3 linked regions of the Macaca fascicularis genome follow. The protein of the gene in region 3 interacts with the protein of the main gene of each other region in a pairwise test. Links are inferred from orthologs where the notes say so. Each region holds a gene or a part of one and is shown on either strand. Other genes may lie near its edges.

Region 1 (3,751 bases), on a different chromosome or scaffold from region 3:
CACATGTTTGTGGTGATGGTGGTGTAAACAAACCTGTTGTGTTGCCAGTTTAACACATACAGTTATGTATGGTACATAAAACTTGATAACAACAATAAACGACTATGTTACTTGTTTATGTATTTACTATACTTTTCATACTATACATTTTAGAGTGTGCTCCTTCTACTTATTAAAAAAAAAGTTAACTGCAAAATGGCCTCAGGCAGGTCCTTCAGGAGCTATTATAGAAGGCACTGTTATCACAGAGATGACAGCTCCATGCACGTTACTGCTACTGAAAACCTTCCAGTGGGACAAGATAGGGAGGCAGAAGGCAATGATATTGATAATCCAGACCCTGTGTAAGCCTAAGCTAATGCATGTGTTTGTCTTAGTTTTTAACAAAAAAAGTTCCAAAAGGAAAAAAAAATAAAAACTGGCTAGGTGCAGTGGTTCACATCTGTAATCCCAGCACTATAGGAGGCTGAGGCAGGAGGATCACTAAAGACCAGGAGTTCAAGGCTCCACTGAGCTATGATCGCACCACTGCATTCCAGCCTGGGCAACAGAGTGAGACCCTGTCTCTAAAAAATGAATTTAAAAATAGCAAAAAGCTGGGCCTGGCGCAGTGGCTCACACCTGTAATCCCAGCACTTTGGGAGGCTGAGGCGGACGGATCACGAGGTCAAGAGATCGAGACTATCCTGGCCAACATAGTGAAACCCTGTTTCAACCAAAACGAAGGTTTGCTTTATTATTATGTGCTTAAAAAAATTTTACCACTTAAAAAATAAGGTATTTAAGAACTCCTTGGACTTAAAATATATGTGGAAAAAATGTTCACTTGCTGAGTAACAGATCACATAATATTGAAAAGATCATATGTGAAAAACAGATCACATATTTTGAAAAATTATCTTGCACATAATACGTAAATATTCAGTCTTCCACCACACCATACGTACATTTATATTTATAATGATAGGCATTAATCACAGAAAATTCTATTAAGAAAAGGCACTCGCATTAGCACCTTAACTTCTTGCAGTGGTCCAGTGTCTTGTCCTTACACTGGATGACTCACAGTTTCCCCAGTTCTACCTTCAGGGAAACTGTATGCTGTTTCTGGACCTTTATTATTTGCACTATCATGCCCGTGCTGTTGTTTACGACACATACTAGCAATGAGCCATGCAGCCTATGAACAACAACTTAAAAAAACTTATCGTAACCCAAGCAAGATGAAGACTGGAATCAGAAAAGGCCTTATCAGACAAGTAATACATACTGGTTTAATTAAATACCCTGGAGTGTGGTGGCCTTATAAATAAGGTCTAGCCAACATTGATTTGTGCCTATTCCAAGACCCTGCTTATCAACGGTGCAACTATTTCTACATATATTTCTCTTCCTTTCATGCTGTAGAGCATACTGCTTGTGGGAAATGGAGGGAAGGCCAACGGTCCCGACAATGTTTGGTCAGAGCACCTCGTTCCAGGTGATCGCCCACCTTACTGCTGCATAGACCTGCTGTGTACCCCGATCCCGGCCAGTCCTCTAGCCCCTCTTCCCAGCACTCAGGACAGCGGATTTCACATGACCAAAGACCACCCTGTGACAACAGCGTCGGAACCACGGCACTTCCGCCTGCGGCCGGTGGGACTACAAATCCCAACAGCCCCGCGCAAGTCTCGCCCCATACCACCTCCTCCCAACACGACTCCCAGAACCCTCCGCGAGACGCCAGGGCCTCGAAATAGAACAAAACCGGCCGGTGGGGGAGGGGGAAGGTGAGGGTCTCGGAGGACACCGGGGGTTAGAGAGCACTCTGCAGACGCCGAAGACCCAAGCAAGCCTGCCGCCTACCTCTCCCCGCCCCACAACTGCTAGGCGCGGAGAGCGCGGCCTATTCCCCGCGCCTCCCGGGAAGCTGAGGAAGGTCCCGGGAAGGCTTCCCCGCCGACTCCTGCTAAGAGGTCCGCAGACCCTAGCCCGGTGTCCCCCTCCCTCCCATAACGTTCCCCGCACACCGGCGCAAACCTCTGGCTCAGGAACCGCAGCAGCTTCGCTGTCCACGGCAGACGCAGAAACACCGTTCACAAGCCTTTTCCCAGAAGCCCCCGGCACGGGCTGCTTCCGGTCTGCGGGCCTGAGGAGGCGGGGAGAGGTAAAGCCCACGTTGCCATGGAGAAGCTCCCCGGGCGGGGGAGGGGCGGCCCCACGACAATGACCGCATTGAGGCTGCGCTTGGCCTCGCGCCTCGAACAGCCTAGCGTCCTCTGGACCGTTTAAAAGAAAAGTAGAGGACTCTACCATTAAGATAGTCCTTACAGTTTCGCAAGCCCTTTCACGTGCATTATCTTGTGGATCCTCTAAGTAATTCCCTGCAAGAAGGAATAAAAGCGAGTATTTGTGAAAGCTTACTACATTGTGCCAGGCGCTCTCGTCGTGCTTTACATGTCATTTATTTTTTCACAAATAAATGATGTAGGAACTTTCATTATCCCCATTTCACAGCTGAGATAGTTGAGGCACAAATACAGTAAGTAACTTGACAAGAGCTCACAACTCATTTGTGGGTAGCAAGATTTGAAACCAAGACGTGATTCAAATCTTTGGCTCCCACTAGTTATGTCACGGAGCTTTATTCTGACCTATTTGTCAGGAAAACTAGATGAGACAGGTTAAGGGTTTTGGCAACGATGTCACGGTGAATTTGTAGAATGCATGGTCATCTTCAAGCTGGGCATTTTATACCATAAAACAGCTGCTGACGCAATCATTTATTACAAATCAGACCACTTCACTCCCCTATTTAAAGCCCTCCAATTTATGCCATAATAATTTATGACATAAAAACTCCTTATAATGTCTTGTAAGTCCCCCATGGTCTGTTGCCTGCCCGCACCCCCAGACCCTGGCGCCCCCAGTCACCTCAGCTCTTCAGCTCCGTGTGGCCCAAGATCCTCAGCCTCACCGCCAGCCTTTCATGACACATGACCCTTCATGGCACTATTATTAATGGAAGTGATCTCATTTATTTACTTGTTTTTTGTTTTGTTTTGCCTTTAAGTCCCTTAAGGGCAGGGACCTTGACTGTCTTGTTCACCACAGCATCCCAGCCTAGACCCCGGAAGCTGACTGCCTGGTAAATAGAGAACACAATAAATGTTTGTTGAATAAATAAATGAATTGTGGGATGGTTACATCGCTGCCTTTAGTTAGGTCACATGATTGGCATCAGACACCACACAAAGGAGCCCTGTTGTTTAAGGACTGGTCAAAAGTGTAGATCCAACCTAACATAAGCATTTCAAGTTCCTCAGGCTTTGACTTTTTGCCTCATTCGGGAAAATGCCCTCTGCAAAGTGCCGTCAGGCTCTGCTGGGTTCGTGCATGAAGACAGCAAGTAAGCCAGCAGCTGATGGTATACCATTGCTTTTCACTCCGACCAGAGCCTTTCTCACAACCCGTGCTAACACTTCTCTCTTCATTGCAGGAAGCTTCAGAAATCCAGCCTTTTCACTCTGCTACTTGGATACGGCCCCCAAGCAGCTTGGCTGCTCTTCCCAACTTTTCCCTCTTTTCTGATTCATAAAGGCTAGCTGAAGTCATTTTTGTTTTATGAGTTTTTACATCTAATTAGTGTTGGAAAACAAAAATCTCAAACGAAACCTTGGGGAAGTTAAAAATGTTGCAAAGTTTTACAAAACCTTTTCCTGTGATTATATTCTGTTTGTTTCTGTCACCCAGGATGTAGGGCAATGGT
Region 2 (3,651 bases), on a different chromosome or scaffold from region 3:
TTAACTTACTTTTACCTCCCAGTTTTATTAAGGTATAATTGACAAAAATTGTATGTATGAAAACTGTACAATATGATAACTATACATTGTGAAATGATTAAGCTAATTAACAAATCTACACCTCATACATTTTTGTGATGAGAACATTTCTTTCTTAGCAATTTTCAAGTATAAGATGCATTATTTTTAATCAACATCACCATGCTGTACCATAGATCTCCAGAATTTATTCATCTTATCTAATGGAAACTTCGACTCTTTGACCAACATCTCCCAGAGGGGATGTTTTATTTTTTAGAGGTGGGTTCTCACTATGTTGCTCAGGCTGGTCTCAAACTCCTGGCCTCAAGCGATGCTTGTGCTTCAGCCCCCAGTAGCTGGAACTATAGGCGTGAGCCACTGTGCCTGGCTAGCAGGTGGTATTTTAGTTCTGCTTCCTCACACCTGCCACCTTCTGGGATATGCAGCTATCCCAGATATATATATGAATATGTAGCCCCACCCTACCTTTGGCCCCGATAAATGAATACATGGACCCTTTCGAGAATCACTTTGGAGAGCTGCAGACCCTACACAGAACCTAGGTTGTGGGGAAGATCTTCAAGATGAGGAACTATACAGCTATGACGGGTAGTGCATTCCAATGATAAATTGTCCTAATAGTTAAGGTTTTCCTGACTGCTAACTCTTGTCACACCTACTTTGCCTATTGATAATTGCTCATGGAAATGGGAGAGCTGGCCCTGTTTTCCTAAACCCCATCTGTGGTTGCTGGCTTATCTCAGAACTTTATCAAGAAGCAACTGCACAGGCTGCTGTAGTTCCTGAAACTCTTCCCCTCCTCCTGCGTGCCTTCCCAGACCCCACTACAAGGCCTCTCACAGCCCCCCACTTCCTGCATAACCCAAGCTACTTGCACGTGCATTATGTGGGTGACTGGCTGCTTCCCTTATGCCTGTTGTTACGGGCTAAGTTATGCTCCTCTCAAATTCCTATGTTGAAGCCCTAATCCTTAGGTACCCCAGAAGGCGACTGTATTTGGAGACAGGGTCTTTAAAGAGGTCATTAAGATAAAATCAGGTCATACGGGTGGGCCCTAATCCAATAGGACTGGTGTACTTACAAGAAGAGGAGATAAAGCACAGACACACACAAAGGAAAGACCATGTAAGAGACCCAGAGAGAGAAGGTGTCTGTTACACTCGCTCTGCAAACTTCTCTTAGTGTAAACATCTTCCTCTTCCTCTCCCTGAAAGAAAACTGCCCGTCACCAAGAGTCCTGGCACAAAGCTTGTTGTCAGCTTTCAGGGCCAGATATTCATAGGTTTTTACGGGTCCCAAGGAGAGCCAGTGGCATAAGAGACTTCCCCTCCCAGCTCCTTTTTTTTTGTTTTGTTTTCTTTTTGTTTTGAGACGGAGTTTCACTGTTTTTACCCAGGCTGGAATGCAATGGCGTAATCTCAGCTCACTGCAATCTCCGCCTCCTAGGTTCAAGTGATTCTCCTGCCTCAGTCTCCCGAAAAGCTGGAATTACAGGCACCCACCACCACACACAGCTAATTTTGTATTTTTAGTAGAGATGGGGTTTCACCATCTTGGCCAGGCTGGTCTCAAACTCTTGACCTCAGGTGATCCGCCCGCCTCAGCCTCCCAAAGTGTTGGGATTACAGGCGTGAGCCACTGCGCTCAGCCCCTAGCTCCTTCTAAATGCCTATCTGCAAACTTCTCTTAGTGTTAACATTAGGCACGTCTAGAGCCAAGGAGAGAGGCTTCAGAAGAACCCAAGGCTGCTAATACTTTGACTTCAGACTTCCAGCCTCCTAAACTGTGAGAGAATATATTTCTGTTACATAAGCCATCCACTCTGTGGTACTTTGTTATGGCAGCAAACAACACACCAGCCTCCTGAACTGTGAGAGAATACATTTCTGTTACATAAGCCACCCACTCTGGTACTTTGTTATGGCAGCAAACGACACACCAATCTTGACTTACGAGCAAGAAAAGGCTGAAGAGTTTGTATGATTTGTACAGGAGTCACTATAGTTTTTCCACACAGAGATATTTAATAGGCATTTTGGTTTTATTACTGAAAAGCTTATCATAAGGCCAACACAACTTCTGCAAATCGTAAGAACGCCCCCTGGCCCCCCAGACACTTTCTTTCCATTGTACCTATACAGCACTGTGGCAAGTCCACCCAGAGTCCTAAGAAAGCCCCCCTGGCCCCCTAGACACTCTCTTTCCACTGTACCTACAGAGCACTGTGGAAAGTCCACCCAGAGGAACCCACGTGCCAGACTTCCTTCAACCCAAGAGTACTGGTTTCCCATGATATGTACTTAAAAGTTTTGGGCGGCCAGGCGCGGTGGCTCACGCCTGTAATCCCAGCACTTTGGGAGGCCGAGGCAGGCAGATCACCTGAGGTCAGGAGTTCGAGACCAGCCTGGCCAACATGGCGAAACCCCGTCTCTACTAAAAATATAAAAATCAGCCAGGCGTGGTGGCAAGCGCCTATAACCCAGCTAATTGGGAGGCTAAGGCGAGAGAACTGCTTGAACCTGGAAGGTGGTGGTTGCAGTGAGCCGAGATTGCGCCACTGCACTCCAGCCTGGGTGACAGAGCGAGACTCCGTCTCAAAAAAAAAAAAAAAAAAAAAAAAAAAGTTTTGGGCATCTCTGGCTTTGTGCTCAGCCTTTTATAGGTTGTATCTCATTTAACCATCCAAAAACCCCAAAAAAGGTAATTGCTATCTCCGTTGGACAGAGGAAGAAACTGAGGCTTTCGGAGTTTAGAAGCATGCCTCATGTCATACCCAGAAGATTCAAATCTAAGTTTATCTGATGACAAAACTACTTTTCTGTAGCAACCATGTACTTCATACACATACTCAAACCATGTCTAGCTGATGTTCTGGTCCCACACACTAGATACCATCCTCTGTTCTCCAAAGTATTTTTATATGTCTTTGCAGAATCACAATGCTCCTGTAAATAGGAATTGTTTAGCCAAAGAAACAGAGGTTCCAAGAGACAAGAGATGGCCATGCTCCATTCATGCAGCAGGCCCTAGCTGTCATCAAACTGACAAATCCTGCAAAGATGCATCCTCAAAGAGATGAGAGGGTACCACCTCAGTGACACCCACTTACAGAAGAGTTAGCTCTGAGAGGATCTAGAACCATGAAGAGAACAAACATCCTGATGAGATTCTCATTTAATTGCTCCAGGAAGGGACTCAGACCCTGATAACAGCTCACAGCCCCTCAGGGAACAGGAGAAAACTGCTGATGCAAAAGCCATCACCTTAAAAACCACCCCAGTGTATAGTGTGTGGTGTGCGCTCCCCCAGATCACCCCTGCTACTCCCCGGGCTGCATACCTGGATCCCCGCTGAGCTGGCTTGGTGCTCTGCTTGGGAGCCCCAGGCACTGTGCCAGGGCTATGGGCTGGGCATCCTGGCTCTTTGCAAGGTCGCTGTGGGGCTCTACCGGCAGCTGCTCCTGCTCCTGGTCCAGAGGGCTGTCCCCATCATCAATCACCACAGGGTCTTCACAGTGCTTGAGCTGCAATCCCAGAGAAAGCTTTTCAGAGCTAGGCAAAGAGGTCCCATCTCTCCCTGGGCCTGGTGACCATCCACTCCACAGCTGCC
Region 3 (3,751 bases):
TGCACTCCAGTCTGGGCAACAGAGCAAGACTCAATCTCAAAAAAAAGACTTTGTTTCATGTACAGAATTATTTAAACTGTATAAAATTAGCTCTATGTGAGTAAGGTATATATGAAACAAATGAATTTCATGTTTAGACTTGGGCCTCATCCCTAAGATATTTCATAATGTATGTATATATTCCAAAATCTGAAATTGGAAACACTTCTGGCCCCAAGCATTTCAGATAAGGGATACTCAACTTGTTGTTGAAATCGTACAATATGTAGCTTTTCAGATTGGATTCTTTCACTTTCTAGTATGCACTAAAATTTTCTCCATGTCTTTTCATGCCTCGATAGCTCATTTTTTTCATTTTTTTCTTGTTTTCTTTTTCTTTTTTCTTGTTTTCTTATAAACAGATGTTTATAGCAGCTTTATTCATAATTGCCAAAACTCAGTGGGTAAATGAATAAATAATGGGTCTGTTTTTAAAAGAGTGTTTTATATTTTTACTATTGAACATCTTTTCACATGTTAATTTGTCACTTACCTTGTTTTGTGTATAGTAACATTCATATCCTTTACTGATTTTTCTACTAAAGTCTCCTTTTACTCTTAAACAGAAGTGCCCTTAAAAATCAAATAGGGAACTTGCATATCAACATTTTAAATGCATATGTCCTTTGGCTGATCAGTTCTAATATGTGGCATTTATCCTAGAAATACATTCTTAAAAGAATGTAAAGGTATTGAATGATGTTCCCTCTAGCATGGCTTTTAAAGAAAAAATATAACCTAAGTATGCATCAATAGGATAGTTAAGTAAATTATGGAACACCCATACAATATTACTTAGCTGTTAAAGAATAAGCTGATCTGTGAAGATCTCCAAGCTGTCTTAACCGAAAAGAGCTAAGGTGCAAAATTACATTATGATACCATAAGTGTTTTTAAATGTATAAATGCTTATTCACTAAACAAAATGTTTATTACATGCTACTGTGTGACAGGTAGTGTCCTAGATAAATATGCACAAAATACAATGGTTAACTCTAAAGAGTGGGACATTTTTCGTTTTATGGTCCTTCTGCAACTTGACTTTTTTATTGTACGTATATTATGTATACTTAAAATAATTTGTACAGCTTACTATAATGGTCTTTTAATTGATCTGTTTCGCCTCCTAACCAGTGATGACCCCGAAGACAGACATTTACCACTCTGTTGGTTTTTTATTGAAATGATGTACATAAATGTGGGGCGTGCTTGCACCGTCCGGATGGGCCTGAGGTCCGGCAGCGGAGAGCGACCTGGGCGGGGCGGGAGGTGGCAGTGGGGGTCCTCCCGGATCACCAGAGAGACGAGCGGCCGTGCTCCTAGAGAGGCAAGGAACCCGCCAGACTCCGCCACTCGGCTGCGGGCGCGGCGAGTGGAGAAGCTTTTGTGCTGGCCCAGCTGCCGGAGGCGCCGGCGACACCCATCAGCCCCGCCAGCCCGCCAGTAGCACGGCTTGGGCTCTGGGGAAACCGGCGCTCTCGACTGGGCAGCCCCGGGCCTCTGCGCTCCCTCGGGAGCCTTTCACGAGGTCGGCTACGTCTTTGTTGTGCGCGTTCCTGAACTTTTGGTCCATTAACCAACAATTAGACACGCAGGTATTCAGTGCCTGGCGCGGTGCTAGATGCTGGGTGTAATCTCAGAAAAATACATTCTGGGGTGCGCCTGAGGGTGCTGGCTGCTGGCATCTCAGGTGCTTTACGTGCATTCGTGAAGAAGTCCATCAGTATTTGTTGAATACCAGGTACGTGCCGGGCTTGTAGAGTCTATGCAGAGATAAACTCCTGTCCTCAAGAACCCGGGTGGGGATGGGCTGGGTGATCTGTAATACGAGATGGAGGAGATGAAGGTTGGGAGCAGTTTTCCATGGGAACACCCATCTCTATCTGTGTGGCTTACTTTTCCTGTCTATATGTTAGGGTTAGGGGTGGCCAGGGAAGGTTTCACATAGAACATTTGCGCTGGCCCTTGGGATTTTACCCTTAGAAGGGGGGTCCTGACTGTATAGAGTGGGTGGAAAAAAAATTGAGTACTTAGCATGGCAGTGAGATAAGGAATTTGGGAAGACCATGGCTTTCTTGAAAGTAGGAACTAAGTCTTTTATTCCAGAGTTAGCTTTATGCCTGGAAAACAATGAGATGCTCCACAAATGTTTATTGAGTGACAAACAAATCAGCAAAATCCAGTAAAGATTAGATCCTGGAGAGTTTGAGTTTACTTCAACGAGTTTAATGAAAACTTTGTATGTGTTTATGTGTGTGTAAGGTATGTTGAATATGGTCAGAATTGTGCTTTAGGGAATATTAATCCAGTGACCATAGAAGCGGGGAATTGGGCAGGAATACCATAACATTATTGTGACAGTGAATGAAAATGATAGTAAAATAATAAGGAAAGAATGGCTGCAAGAGGCATTTTTAAGAATTGACTTGATTCACTGATTGTATATAGAGGCTGTTTAAAAGACTGAATGCATGGAAGATGATGGTGATGCCAGTAGAAATGGAGAAATACGGAGTGAATGCAGCTTTGAGGAACTCTGATCTTAGTTTGAGATCTGTTGAAATTATAGTGCAGGAGAAGCCCACAGCTGCTGGCATTTCAAGATGTGGGTTTGGAGTGCAAAAAGCAAGCTGGAGCCAAAGATTTGAGTCTTCTTGGGAACAGAGATATATTGAAAGTGTGACTAAGGAGATCACAAAGGAAAAAATGAAGAGAGGGAAGAAAAGAACTTGATGCATTTCTACTGTTTCAGTTATGTGTTGTTGCATCAAAAATCAAACTCTAAACTTAGTGGCTGAAAACAAGCTCAGCTTATTGTTCCTCAGGATTCTGCAGGTTGACTGGGTAGTTCTACTGGTCTCACCTGGAGTTACTAATAGAGCTGCATTCCGCTGGTGAATTATTTGAGCACTAGGCCCGGCTGGGTTTTAGCTTGGTCATTTTGGTTCTCATCCACATGACCTCTGTCTAGCTAGCTTGGGCCTCTCACAGCATGGCAGTCTTATGGCAGTGAACCAAGAGCTACAGCAGCACTCTCTCTCTTACAATGTCATTTCTGCCGTATTCCATTGGTCAAAGCAAGTCATAGGCCAGAACAGATTCAAGGGAAGGAAAAATAGACTCCACCCCTTGATGAGAACAGTGGCAAAATCTCATCACAAAAGGTATTTGAGGATGGGAGACTTTGGAAGCAGTCTATTACACCTACATTTAAAGCGGAATATTCAGTGAGAGTTACACAGATATAGATGACCTTTGAGACTGTATTATTTGCCCATGAAGGCAGCCATCTGCCTCCTCAATGGGTAAAATGATCCCTTCTCCCCAGCTAAAGTGCAAGCTTCTTGAGCATTCTTATTGCTAACGCTTCTTCCCTCATATCCTACATCCCTTACCTCTGGACTCAGACCCTTTAGTACTAGTTCAAAACATACTTCTGATTCATTTCACTGAGAAATAGAAGGAAGCAGGCTCAGCTTTTGAGCACTACCTACAGTGGGTACAAAAATATAAGTAGATTACATACAGTTTTGAAGGTCTTAGAATTTGTGTGTTGCTGATCAATTCTTATGCCTCAGATCTCTATTTCTGAACACAGACCCCCAAGCTAAGTGAAGCTTTAGCCTCTAAACTCAACATGTATGAAGCTTTGCCAGGCCCTGCTCCTGAAAATGAAGATGGCCTTGTGAAAGTGAAGGAGGAAGATCCCACC

What was found.
Region 1: the proteins of PGBD1 (region 3) and ZNF24 interact in binary tests that used the Homo sapiens proteins (3 or more experiments, as listed by UniProt). The two-hybrid records come from large-scale screens. The link is inferred for Macaca fascicularis from reciprocal best matches to the Homo sapiens genes PGBD1 and ZNF24.
Region 2: the proteins of PGBD1 (region 3) and ZNF496 interact in binary tests that used the Homo sapiens proteins (3 or more experiments, as listed by UniProt). The two-hybrid records come from large-scale screens. The link is inferred for Macaca fascicularis from reciprocal best matches to the Homo sapiens genes PGBD1 and ZNF496.

Annotation. Positions count from the first base shown.
Region 1 is NC_088392.1:54,500,603-54,504,353, reverse strand, and holds the start of ZNF24 (zinc finger protein 24), read right to left. Parts: upstream 2,110-3,751; 5' UTR 2,013-2,109; exon of another isoform or gene 1,408-2,012; intron 121-1,407; exon of another isoform or gene 1-120. UniProt on the Homo sapiens protein: Transcription factor required for myelination of differentiated oligodendrocytes. Required for the conversion of oligodendrocytes from the premyelinating to the myelinating state.
Region 2 is NC_088375.1:1,757,265-1,760,915, reverse strand, and holds part of ZNF496 (zinc finger protein 496), read right to left. Parts: intron 3,566-3,651; coding exon 3,382-3,565; intron 1-3,381. UniProt on the Homo sapiens protein: DNA-binding transcription factor that can both act as an activator and a repressor.
Region 3 is NC_088378.1:144,899,803-144,903,553, reverse strand, and holds the start of PGBD1 (piggyBac transposable element-derived protein 1), read left to right. Parts: upstream 1-1,360; 5' UTR 1,361-1,780; intron 1,781-3,617; exon of another isoform or gene 3,618-3,637; 5' UTR 3,638-3,676; coding exon 3,677-3,751.